Linked DNA regions of Cricetulus griseus. The protein of the gene in region 2 interacts with the protein of the main gene of each other region in a pairwise test. Links are inferred from orthologs where the notes say so. Each region holds a gene or a part of one and is shown on either strand. Other genes may lie near its edges.

Region 1 (5,749 bases), on a different chromosome or scaffold from region 2:
TTAGCTAAATAAGGCCTATGTAGGCACTAATAAGAAAATGCTGTCTCTGCCTTCCTGTCCCATGTGAGAAGTAGGCTTTGCACATGTTTCTACTCCACAATACTCTGTCTCACTGTGGAGCCCAGAACTTTGAAACCATTCATATAAGGCAGTTGTCATTCTGAGTCTGACTGGTTTTGTTTTACAGGATGATCTCCAGGGTATCTGTCTTCCTGCAAAAGACAAATATTTTCTTCTGTCCAAAATGTGAATGCCCAGGTACACAATGAAACCTGAGAGACAGACAGGCAATTTTGCAGCACTGTGTGGATGCAAAGTATTCAAGAGCTGGAAACTGAGGCCTGGGAATCAAACAACCTGTTATTCAGTGACAGAATCCTAACTGTTGCACACTCAAATACTTTCCTTGAAGAGCATTCAGCATGTTGACACCAGGAACTAGTGTATGTGAAGCTGGATAAGAGCAGAGCTTCTAGCTGACATGAAGGTGAGGTTAACTAATACATTATCAATACCCAAACAGAAAGAACAATCTAGAAGCAGGTGATGGATGTGAGCATTTCTGCAAAAAGGAATAGTGTGTGACAATATTTCACTAAGAAAACACTGAATTTTAAATACAGGCAATGTGTATCTAATCCTTGTATATTTGGGAGGTTGGTTGGTTGTTTGTTTATCTTGGTGGTGGTAGTATACTTTAACCTCAGTATTCTGAAGGCACAGAATGGTAGATCTATGCAAGTTCAAGGACAGCCTAGTCTACATAGTGAGTTCCAGGATAGCTAGGGCTACATCCAGAGTTCAGAAAGTCTTCCTCCCCATAGTGATAAAAACCTATTTGGGAGAAGAGAGTTAGGAGATTAATATACTTCAAAACTTCATGTCCTTTGTCTGGTTCCTCCAAGTCATTACTTACATATTTTTCCTCTAGGAGATCTAATTTTTAAGGTACTGATTATGTATGAATGTGCATGTGTGTATTTGGGTTCGTGTGCACCAGGGTATAGTACCCATGGAAGTCAGAAGAAGGTGTCAGATTCCCTGGAGCTATAGGTGGTTGTGAACTGCCTGTGGATGATGGGAACAAAACTCAGGTCCTCTAGAAAAGCAATGCACACTCTTAATCATTAAATCATCTCTCCAGCCCTAAAAAATCGATTTGGAGCAGAATGAAGAATGTAGGCATGGTCACCTCATTCTTGGAATGTCCATTATGGTTGACAGGCTGTCTGATACAGCCCCTCCTTGCAGTCTCTAATCAAATATTCATTTTAATATTAGATTGCTAAACTACATAGCATTAGACAGAAATTAAATGTCTAGCAACATCTATTTTTCCAAGGCACATTGGGAAAAACTTTATCTGAAGTTTGCTGTATGTTCTGTAATTCTCAAGAGCTGTGGCTGGAGCCACAGTTAAACCTCTGCCTGAAGCTGACAGTACACACTGCCCTGGCTGCCCTCAGCACAGACTGCACTGTTAACACTGTGCCAAATGTTACCACTTCCTCCGCAGACAGTCACATGCAACCCATCTCTCTGTGCAGATGACTGCCACACATTTTCGCTTCGACACACAGCCTAGTACAGTAGACTGAAAGCCTCCTCATAGAGGGAAGAAGACTATCGTAGAGCAGATTAAAGTCAGAGAACTAGACTCTCTAGAACCTCAGCTACCCTGATGAAAAGATACTACATAGTCTGGGGGAAGGGGAAGGGTAGGAACAAAATATATTACTAGCCCTCTGCTTTTACATCCTGCATTTGAGTCTCAAGCTGGTTTTGTTTCCTCCTCTCATCAGTTAGGCCTGACATGGTCCTGGTAAGGTGCTCAGAGATGTCCCAGCTTCCACCACCAGAGAATATACCCATACAAACCCAAATTCCCAAGTCCTGAACTAAGCAGTCACCCCATGTGGCCCCTCAAGAAGAAATAAGCTTTGCTTTGAAAAGCTGCATGTTTTAGTTCAGGACTGCGTGGGGCACAGACAATGCAGACAGCCCTGGCACTGCACTCCGTCTCCGGGGAGAGTGTCACCCGCCCCAGTGCTTCCTGAGGTGCTCTTTCAGCTGCGGGATGGAAGGCAGCAACTGCTGACACTTGTGGCAACGAAGAGGCAGCTTCAAGAGTTCAGAAGTCCCTTCTTGAACAGTCACTCTACCAACTTCTTGAACCATCTTGATCACAGCTGCAAACAAGAAGTAAAGTTCAGAAGACAGCTACTCTGAACAGTCATTAAGATGCCAAGAAAAAGGCTAAAAACATGACTATCAACATATCTGCTATGCTAAGGCTCATGAACTTGAAGATAAGACTTCACACTGGGAAAATGCACTTGACCAGATTTTAAGTCTCAGCAACCTACCTTTGAGATGATGCACTCCTTCAGGACACACTCCATGTACCACAACATAGGCCTATCATCACGCTTTTCCTCGAGTGGATCTTTGCTAAACAGTAGCTGCCCCATTTACACCACAGTAGTACTGGTTGCGTAGAAAATAATCTGAGAAATGCTTACATCCCAAATATACACAGTATTCATGAAGCACTGCTAACAGGAGAGAGCCCCAAACTCCTGCTCAACTCTGCCAAAGAGACAAAGAACTACTGAGACCCTCTCACCCAAGAACTCTGTTAGCATTTGGACATGAAGTGTCCCCCCTAAAGCCTCATGAATTGCAAGTGTGGTCTCCAGATGTTGATGCTATTTGGTGAGATGATAGAAACTTTAGGAGGTGGGACCTACCTGGAGAAAATAGGTCACCGGGTACACCCTTGAGGCTGTGTTTTGTCCCAAGTCCCTTCCCTAGGCCCTCTCTCCTCTTTCTTTCTCTCAATCCCTGGCTACCAATAAGAGAGCAGCTTTACTCGTCCCATCCCTCCCTGCCAGTGTGCTCCCTCACCATAGCCCAGCAACAGAGCCACGGACGCGTCCTCTGACACTATGAACCGAAACAACTTTAATTTCTTAGTGTATGTCAGGTATTCTGTCACTGTGACAAACAGCAGAGCATGGCTAGCACAGACTCTCAGATTCAGCACCAGCTCCCACACATCTTCCTAGAGAAGAGTCTACCCCAGATAACAAGAACACCTGGCAGATTGGGCGGCATTAACTCCTCTGCTGTCAAAATGAAACACTTTTGAGCCCAACGTAACAGCTGACTGGGTCCTTCCAGGATGCTCACAGCAACGCAGCAATCTTATTACAGTGAAACATTCTCGTTCATTCTAGGAGTGCCAGTTTTTCAGAGATCACTAAATGTATGTGGGTCATTTGAGGCCAGGTAAAACATCCAAGAAAATGAAATAAATATTTTTTTAAAAGAATATTATTTACCTTGTGATTCCAGAAAGTATTCTGTATTGAAAGAATTCCAATGTTTTTTGTTTTTAAGGCAAGGAGAATCAAAATCCTGGCTGATCACATGAAGGTGTACATGGCTAGTTGAAAGTTGAAAATTTGAGTATTAGAAACTATGATTTAATCAAAATGACACCAGTTAAAGTACAGGTACATAAAGTTATGATGCTGTGTTCATTCAATGCAATATACCCATTCATTTAGTTGAGAACAGTAAATGCTTGGGAGACAACATACGGAGCAAAGTGCTTGCCATGTGTGATGGATAGTTTTACATCAACTTGACACAAGCTAAAGTCATCTGAGAGGATGCAACCTCAATTAAGAAAATGCCTCCAGCCAGGTGGGGGTGCCACATGTCTTTAATCCCAGCAGTCAAGAGGCAAAGGCAGGTGCAATCTATGTGAGTTTGAGGCCAGCCTGGTCTACAGAGTGAGTTCCAGGACAGCCAGGGCTACATGGAGAAACCCTGTCTTGAAAAACAAAAACTAAAACAAGAAAGAAAAAAAAAATGACTCCTTAAGATCAGGCTGTATGAAAGCCTGTGGGGCATTTTCTAAATTAGTGATTGATGGGATGGGGCCACCCCTGGGCTGGGTGTCCTGAGTTCTATAAAAAGCAAGCCATGAGGAACAAGCCAGTAAGCAGCACCCCTCCAAGGCCTCTGCATCAGGTTCTGCTTCCAGGTTCCTGTACTGTCTGAGTTCCTGCCCTGACTTCCTTTGATGAAGAGCAGCAATATGGAAGTGTAAGCCAAATAAACCCTTTCCTTGGTCATGGTGCTTCATCACAGCAATAGTAACCCTAATTGAGACACCATGCAAGCACAAAGACCTAAATGTAATCTTCAGCCCTGAGGTGAAAAGGCCAGGCATAGCAACACATACTCTCCTAGCACTGAGGAGACACAGCTTGCTGGCCAACCAGTCTAGCCAAATCAGCAAGCTCCAGGTTCAGTGAGTATCCATGTCTCAAAAAATAAGGTGAAAGCTAGATATGGTGGTACATGCCTTTAATGTCAATACTCTGGAGGAAAAGACAGCAGGGTCTCTGTGAGCTCCAGGGAAGCCTGGTTTGCATAGCAAATTCCAGGCCAGCCAGAGCTACACAGTGAGAACCTGTCTCAAATAAATAAGTAAATAAATATTAAAATAAAAAAGGAGAAAATCAATTAGCTACACACACACACACACACACACACACACACACAAGAATATTTAGTGCTTAGTAAGTACCTAATCAAACCTAGAACTGGGAATTTAGTAGTGAATAATATACACAAGGACTCTAAATCTAGAATAATGACATTCTAATGAAGAAAGACAAATAAGCAAGAAAAATCCAAGTCACTAAAGAAGGTGCCAGGCATGTTGGCACATGCCTTAAATTTCAGTACTTGGGAAGCTAAAGTAGGAGGATCCTAAACCCAAGGCCAGCCTGGGCTACACAGTGAAACCTGTCTTAAAAAAAAAAAAAAAAGGAATAACGAGTTGAGAAAAGAAAGGGGTTCAGTAGAAATAGGAGGAGGAGGCAAGAATAAGAGTATACACATATATGAAAATGCCATAATGAAACCCATTATATGTAATTATTGTACACTAATAAAAGAAGAAGAAATTAAGAGGAGGAAGGAAGAAAAGGGAAGGAGAGAGAAGTGGGACAGTGACTAGGGCTGGAGCTAGTTAATTGTGCCCAGAGAAGACCTCTGCCAGGTAAAGCAAGAGCAGAGGCCAAATTCAAAGCCCTGGGGCAAGCAGCAGCTTGGTGTAAGCATGGAACACAAAGGAGGTGATATGGCCACAGTATATGACCAGAAATACTAGAGCCGAGGAACAGGAATTCAGCAAGAGCCAGATCATGATGGGCCTAAAGGCCTGTAAGAGTGTTGTTCTATACTGACCGAATTAGGGAGCTGCTGAAGAGTTTAAGAAGACAATTTCCCACTTGTACCTTTAAAAGATCACTCTGGCTGTTGGGAAAAAGAGATGGGGGGCTTGTAAGACAGGACATAGGGAGATCTGCTACAAAGCAACTGCAACAGTCAATGGCAAAAACCAGCATAGCTTACACTAGAGCTGGGCTGTAGCAGAGATGACCAAAAAACAGCCCAATTTTGGTCATGTTTTAGAAGAAATCCAAGAAGATTTACTAACTTTCTGGGTGCAGTTTTAGGCAGTGCTACTTGTTGAGATGGAAAAAGGTACAGGGAAAGGACATGCAGTTCAAACTAAGTTAATTAGGCTGAGTCGATGGCTCCTGCAAGCATGAGAATCTGAGTTTTGACCCCTAGAACTCACATTAAAAAAAACAGTCATGGTCATGTACTTGAAGTCCCACACTAAGGAGGTGGAGACAGGTGGACTCCTGGGGTTAACTGACCA
Region 2 (6,706 bases):
AATGTATATCTAAATATAGGAGTTGGGAGTGTGGTTGGTTAGCACATGAAAGCAAAGTGTGTGCATGAATAAAAGTTTAAGAAACAGAACTTTATGTTGAGGGACCCATATGGTAGAAGGAGATAAAGGATTCCTCCACATGCATACCATAATATGCACAGCCCCCCTCACACACACACACATACACACACACTATTTTAAAAAGAAAAATGTAGGAAAAACACCAATGTTAGCATTCATAAATTCATAGTCACAATTAACAAATGGCGCCAGCTCTGCCAACCCCACCAATGCCTCCATGAAGCGGAGCTCTGATCTTAAAACCTTGGAGAAAGCTTCACAGCACTTCTGTATCTATGCAGGAGCTCAGGGGCAGCATCTTCAGTCACAGCATCTCTAGAGCCTTTCCCTTTTCTCATCTTAGTATAAAATGACTGCCGTGAAACAAATGCTCACTTTGAACACACATGACTCGACCATATTTCTTCACTGAAACAAGGTGTTAAAGTCACAAAATGAAAAAGGTTGCTAGAAAACCTAAGCCCCATTTCAATTTTTTTGGTCAAATTTCATAGAAATACACTTTCATCTCTTCAGCCATCATCGCTTGCCTTGAAGTCATGCAAAAACAGAAGCCACTAAAGGGCATTGCAGAAGCAGAATGTGAAGGCACATGCCTATGATCCCAGCATCCAGTAGGAAGAGGCAGGGATAGATACCACAAGTTCAAGACTAGCCGGAGCTAGATAGTGAGACTGTATCTAAAAGAAATAGCTGGGTGAGGTGGCTCACACCTGTAACCCTAGCACTGTGGAGGCTGGAGGCAGGAGGATTGCTACAAGTTTGAGGCCAGCCTGGGCTACAGAGTGAATTCCAAGCCAGCCTCAGCTAGCTATCGAGTGGGACCGTGAAAAAGAAACAAAACAATAACCGAGGAACCGGCAACACAAGAATGTGTAGGTGATATTGCAATTTAAGCTCATAGCAAGGAGATTAAAAAATTTTTTGACATGAGCAAAAATGTGCAGAGAAAAAATGTGCAGAGCTAAGTTACACTGAAAATTTTTTATACATGTCAGGAAAAGCAAGATGAGAATTTTCACATTTTTATTTGTATACATCTATTTGATAACTTCAAATTTAGAACACTTAGCATCAACATGACCAATAATTAAATGACAAATAATTCATGTGGGGAAAATGTAGCTTGTTTATGGAAATTCCCCCTGACTTATATTTGTATCTTACACCATGAAAAGTAGGTTGTGCCTCTTCATAAAAATCACATTTTTCTAACTTGCCAATTTTAATCCTAGAGTACTTTGCTGGTAAACTGGTTCTGATGTTGAGCCGTGAGGAATGAGAAATCTGAATTTTCAAAATGAGCAGTATCATCTAACAGACTCATATTCTTCCCATGTATATAAATTAGGGACAATGTACAGTAAAACTATCCACAATATTAGTAACAAATGTCAGTCTGTACCATACAGCCTGTGAAGCAGGCTTGCACTTTCACAATCATCCTGACAGGAAGTGTCTCAGCTTCACATTTTTCACAACTGTCAAAGATGTCACTAGGAGGGCTTGCATCAAGCATTCATTTTAGGCAGTATGAACCACCTCTACTGTTGCAGCCCTGGCCAATCACGCAATTCTGTGACTGCTACACAAATACGCAGGCCTGACTCCCCTATCCCATCCCCCAGAAAACAAAACAAAAACAGGAGGCTAGGTCTTTACTATGAGAGGCAAGGCTTGTAAAACCGCACAGGGATAACAAAAGCAGCCAGACTGATCCAGGGACTCAGAAGTGCCCCTCCAGGCCTAGCTGCAAAAGGGCTGCCTCAGCTTCCTCTTCCTCCTCCTTGGCTTCCTCCTCTCGAATCTGCACCAGCAACTGGAAGAGGTTGGGTGCCGGTCGTTCCGCAGCCCCAGTCAGCCACAATTGCCTTCGGATGGCCCCACTGTGGTTGGCCCCGGCGATGACCTGCTCCAGGCGAGCCTGGTTCACGTTATCTTTATCAATGGCCCCCTTTTCCACTACCTTTTGTAGCAGAGGCTCCAGACGAATGACGTAAGATGACAACTTTTCCCCGGGGTTCTGGTAAGTGTTCAGAAATCTGACCTGTGTATCTCTAGAGCTCTCCACGCTCCCAAACACCTGCTCAAGAGCCTTCAGGCATTCCGCGGTGGTTATGGCTGGGTTGTTGGTCTTGAGGATGCGAATGACATCAGCAGCAGGGCCTCTCAAACTCTCCATCAACCGCCGTCTCTTTTCTATATCAGACACCTGCCATTCTTCTATGACCTCATTCGAGTGCTCCAGCCAGGAATCAAAGGTCTCCTCGCCAGGCCCGGGAATGTCCCTCCCAGAGAATAGCGTCAGCTTCTTATACCATATGGACTCAACAAGAGGTTGAATAACATTATCCAAAATATAATTGAGCATCTCTGCTGGCATTTCTGGGCCTGGAGCGGGAGCAGGGTTCTGAAACCCAAGCACACGAGCAACATCTTGCACAGTCCACCCTTCCCTAGCTAGAAAGAGGTGCAGCCTCTCCAGAAACTCCGCATCAGAAGTGGGGGGCTTAAAGAACACTTTCCAGAGCCCTCCTTTGCCTGGCATCTCTCTAGGGATCAGGGAGTAATCCACTTCCCCGGTGAGCTCTAACAAGGCTGCCTTCGCATTTTCTTCCCTCCAGAACATTCTCCCCAGTACTCGGTAGGGCACTTGGGGCATGGCAGCTTGGAGGGTCTCTTCGATTTCAGCCTCATCACAGTTCACAGGGATCCCCCAGACCAGCAGAGCTCTCTGAGAGTTCACATCCATTCCCCTGCACCAGTCTTCCAAGAGCGTCAAAGCCATTTCGCCCCACTATTAAGGGTGCCAGTTCTACAGACACCGACTGGACTGGCTCGCAGTGCTATAGGACCTAGGACAATACAACATGCCTCCCTCCCCCGGGTAGGCCAGGGGGCGACAAGCTTCAAGCAACCACAATTACCAGTGACACCGGAGTCCAGTCTCGTCCCTTCCGGGTCCCAAAGTCAGTAGTGTCAGGTGCCTCGGGGCACTCTGCCTATCGAATGTCGCCCTCTTTGGTCCGAGCAGGTGCGGGCTGGCCGCAGCTATTCGTGGCCTCACGGCGGGCAGGGGAGAAGCAAGGTTGGCGCAAGGCGGTGGGCTTCAGCTTCACGAGGGAGACGGCCGGGTGCGGTCGCGGGGTGTGGCAGCTCCCCCCCGCCGCTCTCGGGCCGGCCGGCCGGCGGTAGGCGCGGGCGTAGGGTCACGCGAGGCAGTGGCTGGGAAGACGCCGGGAGAGGCGGTACTCGGGTCCGGCGGCTGCGGCAGCAGGCGAGCACCGGGGACGGAGGCCTCAGGGAGGCGCGGAAGGCGGGAGGCCGGATGGAGGCAGCTCCGCTCAGCGTCTAGAGCAGCGCGCTCCCGCAACGGCCGCCGCCGTGCAGCTGCAGTGCAGGGCGGGGCCGGTCCGCTCGTCAGTGTCGCCGTGGCAACCGTATCCATGACGACGGGAGATGCGCGAGCTCCAGAGGATCTGGCGGTTGCTATGGTACCGAGGGGTTGAGGAGTCTATTTTGTGATGGCGCGCGCGCGCGCGCACACACACACACACGTATTTCCCAGCTTCTTTCTTAACAATAAATATTGCAAAGCATCGTTTTCTTTTTTTCTTAATCTAATTTTGCTGTGAATTTAAGTTGGCCTTATTGATACGCATCCACCACGACAGACTTGTCTGTCTCATGTTGCTCATCCAGCTTATGCATTCACTATGCAGCCCATGAAAACACTCAGCACTCTGACTTCTGCGTACCTCCTGACCACACACCACAGCTGCTGCTTGCTCCTCCCCAGGAAAGCAAAAGACAGAATGCCATCTCCAGGTTCCTGTGAGACTTACTATGCTTTCTTGCCTAAATTTTGTATATATATATATAAAAAAAACCAACAAAATGCTGCTGCTGCTACTTCTTTGTAGCCAGGCAAACTGCAAACACTTTCATTTCTTGATCTTACTGAGTATACAGGATAACAAAAGAGAATGCTTAAGGCTCAGAAAGGTAGGGTAAATTCTCTTCAAGCAAGGCCTGTCAATCCCAGCTGGCAAAAACATCCCTATAAATCAGGCGGGCCTTGGTGGCCCATGCCGTTAATCCCAGCACTCGGGAGGCAGAGGCAGGAGGAGCTTTGTGAGTTCAAGGCAAACCTGATCTATAAATTGAGTTCCCGGCCAGGCTCCAAAACTACACAGAGAAACCCTGCCTCAAAAAATCAAATAAATAAATAAACACACAAACCCCACCCCTATAAAGATATGGCATTGGGGGCTGGATAGAAGGCTCACTGGTTAGGAGCATTGGCTGCTATTCCAAAGGACCTGGGTTCAATTCCCCGAACCCACATGGCAGCTCACACCTGTCGGTAACCCCAGTTCCCAAAGATCTAACAACCTCACACTGATACACATGCAGACACAGAACACAAATGCAAATAAAATAAAAATAAACAAATCGTTACAAAAAAAAGAATATGGCGCCGGGCATTGGTGGCAAACTCCTTTAATCCCAGCACTCGGGAGGCAGAGGCAGGCGGATCTCTGTGAGTTCAAGGCCAGCCTGGTCTTCAGAGCAAGTTCCAGAACAACCTCCAAAACAATACAGAGAAAACGTGTCTCAAAAAAAAAAAAAAAAAAAAAAGGAAAGAAAAGAAAAAGAAAAACCAAGAATATGGCATTCAACAGTGAATTTTTTAAAATTTTTATTTAATAAAAGGTCTTAAGATACAGAACATTCAAAAGTAAATAAGTTACATAGGTACATTACAATCACAGCAAGATTCTCTTTAGTGTATTAATTTTTTTATAAAAAGCACACAAAAAATAAAATTTTCAGTCTGGTCTATCACAACTGTACAGCAAAAGAGGTAATATTTATATATATGTACACTATTTAATATGTAACAGTCTTTTTTAAAAAGAGTGCCACAGGCAACAAACACATGAAAGGCAGTGTCTGATCATTTTGTTTCAAAATAAAAGGAATATACTTATTTTATGCTATTAAAATATTTGTACAATAATTACAGACTGTCAAGGCTGTTCCTGTGCTCTGTCCTCAACAAGGCCTTCAACTTAGCAGACAAATGAGGAAAAGTTCTAACAGCTGCAATTTTTTTTTTTTTTGAGGCAACAAACACAGCCAAATGTGGGTTAGACACAACTTTTTTTTTTATAAAAATATGCATACTTCCCATAAAAACCTAAGGAGTTAGGCTTTGCCAGTCTAGTAATAAATAACAACCCAGAAAAGTGAGCCCCAGTAAAAACATTTAAACAGCTGAGGCTTGAGTACGTGTGTTTCCTCCTTCACCTTTAACACCTGGCACGTGAGAAGAAAGAGGTTAGGTCACTGAGGCAGTTAAATATAGGCAATCCCTTTAGACACTGGCAGCACAGGATCTCTGTGCGGGGGTGGGGTGGGGTGGGGTTGCGGTTGCAGAAAGGTAGATATGTACCTTAGCTGTGAGGGGGCTGCTGAAGGCGTGGAGGACAGTAGTGACGGCACTGTCTCCTTAGATGGGTAAGAGACCCCAGAAATGGTCCAGAACACAGGCACTATGTCAGTTTCATGCCCTTTGCCGAATGCCGGTGGAGGCTGTGGGACAGGTAAGGTGACATGGTCTAGGAAGGCTAATATCAAGCTGAAGTTGTTACTTATTCTTAAAGCAAAAAGCTCTGAATAATAATAATAGTTAATAATAAAACAACAAAAACCAAGCCCAGTGTGTTCATATGAGAAAGCACCAGTAAGGATGTGCCTGTGCCAGCCTCTGGCTACTCGCCACAAGTGGATCTGCCCGTGAAATAGTACAGTTTTCATGCTGCACCCCGGAGCATGGACTCTTCAAAAAGTGTCTCATGAGATCACCACCAATAGGTAGCATCTTGATTTTTTTTTTTTTCTGGCTATGTTCATCTGGTCTGGTCTCTGTCAACTTAGAAAAGTAAAACTGCTTCTTTTTATTAAGATTTCTAAGGACTGGCAGGTACCACTGAGCAGAAGGGTCTCGTGTGGCTGTAGATGTCTGATACCACATGTCCAAGGGGCCTGAGCCAAATATGGTTTAAATAGAAAAAAACCTTGGGAAACCTAAGTAGCACTTTGGGGCTAAGCTGTGAAGGCACTCATTATACAAGTGATTTAGGAGAAAGCCTAAATTTGTTGTCCTCTTGCTTCCAGAGGGTACCAGATTTTTGCAATCTTGAGACTTGAGTTTGTAGAAGTCTACGGAAAAAAAAAAAATTAATGGGGAAGCTGTAGGTTTAGGAACCATCCAGGCATCTAGGGGGACATCTTTTGTTACTTTCATAGGCAGTTCTCATAGAACCATACTAATGAATAAATGAATACAAAAAATACCCAATAGTGCATAGCTTAAAAACAAAACACCTCGTCTATTTCCACTTTCCAGCAGGGCTGCGGGCCATCTGCTACAGAACAGTGAAAGAATCTTTAACAAGTTTGACCACTCAGACACATCCACTTAGACGTCCTTCCGCACAACTAAAGCTGAGTAATGATATCAGAAAAATAACTTAGGCCCCTATGGAACTGGCAAGTGAAGGGACCTCCAGAACATTCCGACCCTTCAGTAATTTCATGCCAAATATGGTTTCTTCAA
Region 3 (6,606 bases), on a different chromosome or scaffold from region 2:
CTGTCCCTACTGCCACTTCTGACATTTCCTGCTAACTAGGTAACACCAGGAGGGCTTTCACTCCCGGGGTCGTGACATGGGTGGCCCTCTCTGAAATACTATCAAAGGAACGCACTCCCTTGCTTCACAGCTCCAGGCCTTGCTACCACCCTAAGAGAACTCCAAAGTCGGCATCCACACAGGGAGTGTAGGGGACACAAAAGACTGAACCACCCGCCTTCCTACCTGGCATGCTGGCTGGGTGGGGGTATGCCTACCTTCTGTCACTCGGCATAGCCCTGGGGCACGCCCATCCCCTCCCCGCCTCCAGGACTCTCAATTCTCTCTTGGAATGTTCCTTCGGATCCACTTGTCTGTGGTTCAAGAGTCAGTGCAGATTGTGGGCCTTGGCAGCCTCCCTATGAAGCTAACCTTGGTGCCCTCCCCCTCCACAGCATTTCCCACCGCCTGCAAGTCTCCTCAACTTTAAGCCTCCAGTCACCCCTTCCTTAGTCCAAAGTAGCCGCCCTGGCTGCTTTGCTCATGGACACATTCCCAGAGCCTGACACATCTCCGAAATCAAACAACTACTCACACGGCAAATGAAAAAAATACACCAACAACCCAAGCAACTTCCTCAAGCTCTCGGGGCCTCACTTTCGGCAAATGAAAAAAATACACCAACAACCCAAGCAACTTCCTCAAGCTCTCGGGGCCTCACTTTCTTAATCTTTAAAATAGGACTGCTGGATACAGTGGTAAGCACCCATAGACCCAGCTCCTCAGGAAGCTGAGGCAGGAGGATCACTGGAAATATTAGCCTAGGCCAGAGAGGGCGAGCTCATCTAAAAAAAGAAAAAATGGCGCCAGCACAGTACCATCAGTGAGACTGCTGGGAAAGGGGGGAGCGGGGGTGCCATATTGACTTGAACGGAGTAGCAACTAAGACTGCCATCTTCTATGGTGGCTCTCCCTTAGGTCACTGAGGTCAGTTCACACAGGAGAAACTAAGAATCCACACTGTGACCCAACATCTGGACTGACCTGCTTCCTACAGGAAAAGGTTGTGTCCTTCCTGTCTCAAGAGGCTGCCCACATAAAAGTCTGAAATGGCTGAGGCTGGGGCTTCCCAAGAACACTGCTGCCAGGCAGCAATCACAGGGGGAGAGGGCCTTGACCCTCTTTGACAGCAGGACCTCTACACAGTGCAGTAGGAAGCAGGTCTGGGTCCAGCCACCAGCCTAGCCCGGTGGGGGAGGTGTGCGCTAAATTGCTTTGGGTTGAGGAGAGGGCACTTGGGACCTACAGAAAGACTGGATGGCTTGTCTGTCTTCCTCAGCTGAGATGCAGCCAGACTCCTCCCATGAGCTTATTTGCACACTTCTGGCCTGGTCACTCGGCCTGTGCCAAGCCCTGGGGTCGGCCCCAGCACCAAAACTCCACACAAATAACATCACTAAACATTAGCCATCCTCCTCTCAGAACTTGTCCCTTGGAGGGCTACCTCTTCCCTGAGACCCCTGGATCGCTCCTATCTGAAGGCCAGCTGCTGTAGGATCACCCCACCACAGTGGGCTTCAATCTGGGCTCCTCAGCGGGAACTGAAGCTCCCACGGTGAGTACCGATGCATATTTATTGAACATGTGGATGTGCTCATTGCTACATGAGGCACTGTATAGACACGAGGTAGGTGGATGCTATACCCATTTTGCAGATGGGAAACTGAGGCACCATAACGTTAACACCCCAGAGGTTGCACATCAAAGTCAGGCTAGACTGATTTCCAGAGCCCTTCGTCCCTCACCTCTGTAACATCCCCTCAATGCTACCCTGCCCATTTCTGCACCCCCACAGATACATCCCTGAGTTCTGGGCACACACACAAACATGCCCAGGTTGGATCTTTCTTCCTGAGGCTCCAGGTTACTAGAAACTGGCTCCAACTGGGGAAGCCTTGAGAAAGCAGCAGAGAGCCAGACCCAGGCCCTCCAGAGGGAGGGAAGCAAGGGGCTGGGGCTGAGGGAGAGATCATTGAACTGGCATGGTACCCAGTCACTATTGTTTTGTTTTTTGAGACAAGGTTTCTCTGTGTAGCCCTGGCTGTCCTTGACCTCACAGAGATTCGCCTGCCTCTGCCTCCCAAGTGCTGGGATTAGAGGTGTGCGCCACCACCACCCGGCATGGCCTAGGCACTTCATAGACATCCTCTCCTCACCAGTGCTGAGCGGAGAGAAAAGTGGACGAACAGAGAAGCCAAGGACTTGAATCAGGACTCCCTACTTCGAAGCCTTGCCTCAATCTGGAGTCATAGCCCCCTGCAGGGCCACTGCAGGGCCACCTGAGTAACTCAGTCTCCAGCCAACAACTTTGTTGAAGCCACACCTAAATCTAGCCCTGTTTGCAGGGGTGGGGCCTTCTGCGGTAGCCATCATCACGGCAGGGCTGACAGTGTACACGGGTCACGCACAGCATCTCTGGGTGTGTGACCTGCATGCCATCTGTCCTCAGGCCACTAGTGTGACCAGCAGCAGAGTGTAGGGTTCCAGCAGCTGAGAAGGGACCACTGGGTCTTGAGCTTTAGCGTCTGGAGATAAACAGCTGGCTGAGTCCACTGGGGTTCTGGCTCCTGGACCATCTGAGAGCATCTCTGGGCTTGCTTCCAGCTTGCTTCCTGGTACCTCCTGGTGCCCCCTTCTCCCCTGCCCTCCTGGGCTCATACAGCCAGACCAGCTCCTCTGAAAATACTCGGCACCTTGGGTTTATTGGGGGGTTGGGCACTGCAAGATCAGGCAGTTTGCTTCTCTGCTCGGCTCTCTTGGCACTTCTGGGGGGCTGGCCCTGAAGGTTCCCTCCCAGGTCCCCATTTCCTGGATCTGTCCCCCCACCATCGTTCTCCAAGTCTCTCATTCTTTCACAAGCCGGTAGATGTGGTGCTGAGCCCCATGTTCGCTGGCTGACACTTCGAAGACGTAGGCAATGCACAGCAAGGTCTCCTGTGTGTCTCGATTGGTGACCACCTGCAAGTGAGACAGAGGTGACGGTCAGAGCCCTGGACTGGGAAGCCAAGGGTGCCACCCACCACCTCCGCACAGACCCCCTGGGCATGCGGCCCCCGGTCACACCTGCAGGATGGTGAAGTTCTCCAGCACACTGTTCATCATGTATTTCTCCGGTAAGTGCTTCAGCTTGTGGATGAAGTTGACCATGTACTCACAGAGCGGGGACCGGTGGATACGGTACAGGTAGCGACCGTTCTCATAGCGCGCATACTCTGTCTGTAGAACCCCAGGGACAGCAGAGGCTTAGCATCCCTTCACCTCTTGCCCAAGCCCAATTTAGCAGGGATGTACAAAAATCCAACACAGCCAATGGGACACAGAGGCAGAAGATGATCCAGGACCAGCGCTATCCTCTGAGGTTTCTAGACATGAAAGCAGACCTTTCCGCTCGGTCACTTCCAGGAGAAGGACATGTAAAGACCCGGAAGGAGCGGCCATGAGATGGGGCAGGTGTGGCAAGTGAGGCTGAGCTGAGGGAGGGAACCCGCATCCGTGTGGTGGAACTGCCTTACGCGTGAAGCTTGGTAGTGGATGCTACCAAGGAGCTGGATAGACAGCACATAGGATGATGGCTGGATAGACACATGAGCACCTCAAAACCTTGATAAGTTTAATGCAAGTAAATAACTGTAGGAGCTTTGTAAAAAACTGCCTTTGCTGGGATAGGACAGCAATTCTGAGCCCTGGAGTCCATCTATAGCACCAAATAGAACAAAAGACCACACACACACATTACACTCCCAAGATTAAGAGAAGTTACATGAGTGGGGCTCAGTGGAGCTAACGTGTATCAAAAGCTTCCTGGCAATGGAACAGCTAGGGTTGGGACCCATGAAGCGAAGGTCGAGATTCCCAGGTGCTGCCTGGCACCTAACTGTTGGACATGAGTTTCTGTCAACCTCAGGTAGAGAGGACACCATCAATTCAGACCCACGTAGGCCAAGAGGTGACCAGCCTGACAGCATGTAGTGTTAAGCACCGCAGTGTCACAGTCTTTAGGACCACACGGACACTGTGACATTTAAGGCCATTTTGTCATTCTCATCACACAGTAAGATCAGAAGGTCACAGTCATTGGGACCAATGGGTGGTGAAGGCAACCTGATACTTCCTTAGAGATCAGTCAGGAGTGTTAACACAACCCCAAGAGGAAGTGGGGGTCGGGGGAGGTGTACAGGGATGAAACCCAAGTCCTTAGCTTGAGAGCTCATTACCAGCCTGCCTGCCTTTGACAGGGTGAATGGGAGTGAGGCAGAGAACTCTGCCCAAGTGTAAGGTCTCCAAGGCACTCCAAAAACCAAAAAGCTGTGTGATACTGGGATGCCTGGCAAGGGGACTCGAAAGACTGTCTCAAAAGGGGTGAGGTGGGGATAAAGGGCTGTATAGCTCAATGGCAGAATACTTGCCGAACATACACCAGGCTCTTAGAAAAACTCAAACACCTGGAGAAACAGGGACTCCACAAGCTTGCAGCATTCGTGGAGTAAAAAGTGAGAGGGGAACAGATCCTGAACATCCGTTCTCACGGCCTATGCATCTAGAGAGCTGTGCAACTGAGAAAGGCCATGCCTATCCCCAGGACCAGCTGTCAAAGACACAGATGGATTAGGGAGAAACCCTTGGGCTAGCCCCTGCTTTGGCCCTGCTCTAGAAGTTGCGGGATGCTTGCAAGGAAGGTGTGAAAGGAATCCTGACCAAAAAATTAGTCAGGGATCGGAGGTGTGGGACAGACAATTAAATCAGTAATTTATTAGATGCCTCATACCCAACCTAAAACACACACTTCCTGAAGGTATGTGGAAGCCACATGGGGCCCCCCTCAGCAATCCTGCCCCCAAGAGAGCTCCAGGGAAAGGGGGCACACAGACCATGCCCTTTGTCTACACCCACTGGATGGCCTCCTACCTCAACTTTCTCCACCACTTGCTTGCCAAAGGAGCAGACCTTGGTAGAACAGGTAATGATCATGTTCTCCAGGCTCTCGTACTGGCTGGAGACCCCATAGAAGGCGTTGCTTTCATCGTCAATGTTGGTATTGAGGTCTGCCTGCCGGAGAAATGGAAGCATACGATTGTTTTCAGGGGTGTCCTTAGAGGTCACAGTGCAGGTTCTTGTGAAGGGACTCTAGCCGGCCTGAGCGTGACAAACATGGCTCTGGCACGCCCCGCCCTCCTCCCCATTCCCTCTGCCTTTCTAAAAGCCATTAGACCATATTCCTAAAGCCAGCCATCAAGGTCCTTTCCCTTATCTGACCACTTCCTCTTCCTACCGCTGACTACCAAGGTCCAGCTGTTAAAGTATTGAAGTCCAGCAATCAAAAACCCCCTATGGCTGCCTTAATTAACCTATCCAATTGAAATTAAACACCTCATCCTAACACAGGGTTTCCCCTTTCCCCTTTATAAACCCACCATTTTCCTATGGGCCGAGTCTGTCTCCCTTGTCCTCCTGTCTTTCTCTTTTTTTCCCCTGCCGTTTGTCCCTCTGGGGCAAATAAATCTCCTTTGTGCCCAGAACTTGGTGTTGGGGTTTCTTGTGCCCATACCAGTCCCTTCATCTTGGAAGAGACGGGGCTTTAAAAGAATGGGGGTAGGAGTTGGCTACAGCTCAGTGGGAAGCCGGTTGTTGGCCTGGAAGGACCAAAAAGCAAGAAGAAAAAGAAAAAAACATGGGCACATAGCAAGCGTAAGAAAGCCTCTGCCACCCCCCCCACACCCAGGCTCAATGTAATTCTTTGTTTCCCAAACAATGAGAAATATGTTCACAGCTGCCCACCAGGCAACCACTTCTTGGTTGGATATTGTATTAATTAACTTAGGATCACCGTGACTAAATACCACATATAAACAACCTAAGGAAGGGTTATCTTGGTTGTCTCAGTCCCTCATGGCAGGGAAGGCATGGCAGAATGATCCCATCCTGATGCTAAGAACACGAGATGGTGGCTGTTCTCGTGGCATGGGCCAGGAAAGGGAGAACACAAGCCAAAACCAGGAGTGGGTATAACCTTCAAGGACTTGCCGCTAGTGTCTTATTTCTAGTTTCTAGCAGCAAGGCCACAACTCTTAAAAGCTCTACAACCTTCAAAATAGAGCCACCACAAGCTGGGGACCAAGCATTCCATATGCAAGTCTGTGGGTAACATTGTGAATTCAAAGTATATCCCTGACCCAGAACGGCTCCTGTCCATCTTATAGGACAAATAAAAACATGTAGTCAGAAGTGTCAAAGTGCAAAGTTTCTTCTGAGGCAATCCGAGCTATGAACCCTGCAAAATCAGAAAGAAAACCACCTACTCGCCATTCATCCTAGAACAGAGTAAACATTCCCATGTCAAAAGGAAAGCAAAGGAGAGGACCAAGAAGAAACACAGGCCCTGGAAAGATTAAGACTCAACAGTTAAGAGCACTTGCCACTCTTACAGAGAACCTGAGCTCAGCCCCCAAGCCCCAGCTTCTCTTCTGGCCTCCATGGGTAACTGTAAATGTGTACTCACATATACACAGAGATATACATTAAAAAGCTTGAAAAAGAAAAGACTGCAACTCAACCAAGTATGAAGTTCTA

What was found.
Region 1: the proteins of Pnma1 (region 2) and Aptx interact in binary tests that used the Homo sapiens proteins (3 or more experiments, as listed by UniProt). The two-hybrid records come from large-scale screens. The link is inferred for Cricetulus griseus from reciprocal best matches to the Homo sapiens genes PNMA1 and APTX.
Region 3: the proteins of Pnma1 (region 2) and Tead4 interact in binary tests that used the Homo sapiens proteins (3 or more experiments, as listed by UniProt). The two-hybrid records come from large-scale screens. The link is inferred for Cricetulus griseus from reciprocal best matches to the Homo sapiens genes PNMA1 and TEAD4.

What each region holds. Positions count from the first base shown.
Region 1 is NC_048595.1:101,914,344-101,920,092, reverse strand, and holds the end of Aptx (aprataxin), read right to left. Parts: intron 3,449-5,749; coding exon 3,345-3,448; intron 2,190-3,344; coding exon 2,035-2,189; 3' UTR 1,940-2,034; downstream 1-1,939. UniProt on the Homo sapiens protein: DNA-binding protein involved in single-strand DNA break repair, double-strand DNA break repair and base excision repair.
Region 2 is NC_048598.1:119,611,717-119,618,422, reverse strand, and holds Pnma1 (paraneoplastic antigen Ma1), read right to left. Parts: upstream 3,536-6,706; 5' UTR 2,870-3,535; coding exon 1,808-2,869; 3' UTR 1,081-1,807; downstream 1-1,080.
Region 3 is NC_048601.1:18,178,641-18,185,246, reverse strand, and holds part of Tead4 (transcriptional enhancer factor TEF-3), read right to left. Parts: intron 5,086-6,606; coding exon 4,945-5,085; intron 3,256-4,944; coding exon 3,103-3,255; intron 2,998-3,102; coding exon 2,884-2,997; 3' UTR 1-2,883. UniProt on the Homo sapiens protein: Transcription factor which plays a key role in the Hippo signaling pathway, a pathway involved in organ size control and tumor suppression by restricting proliferation and promoting apoptosis.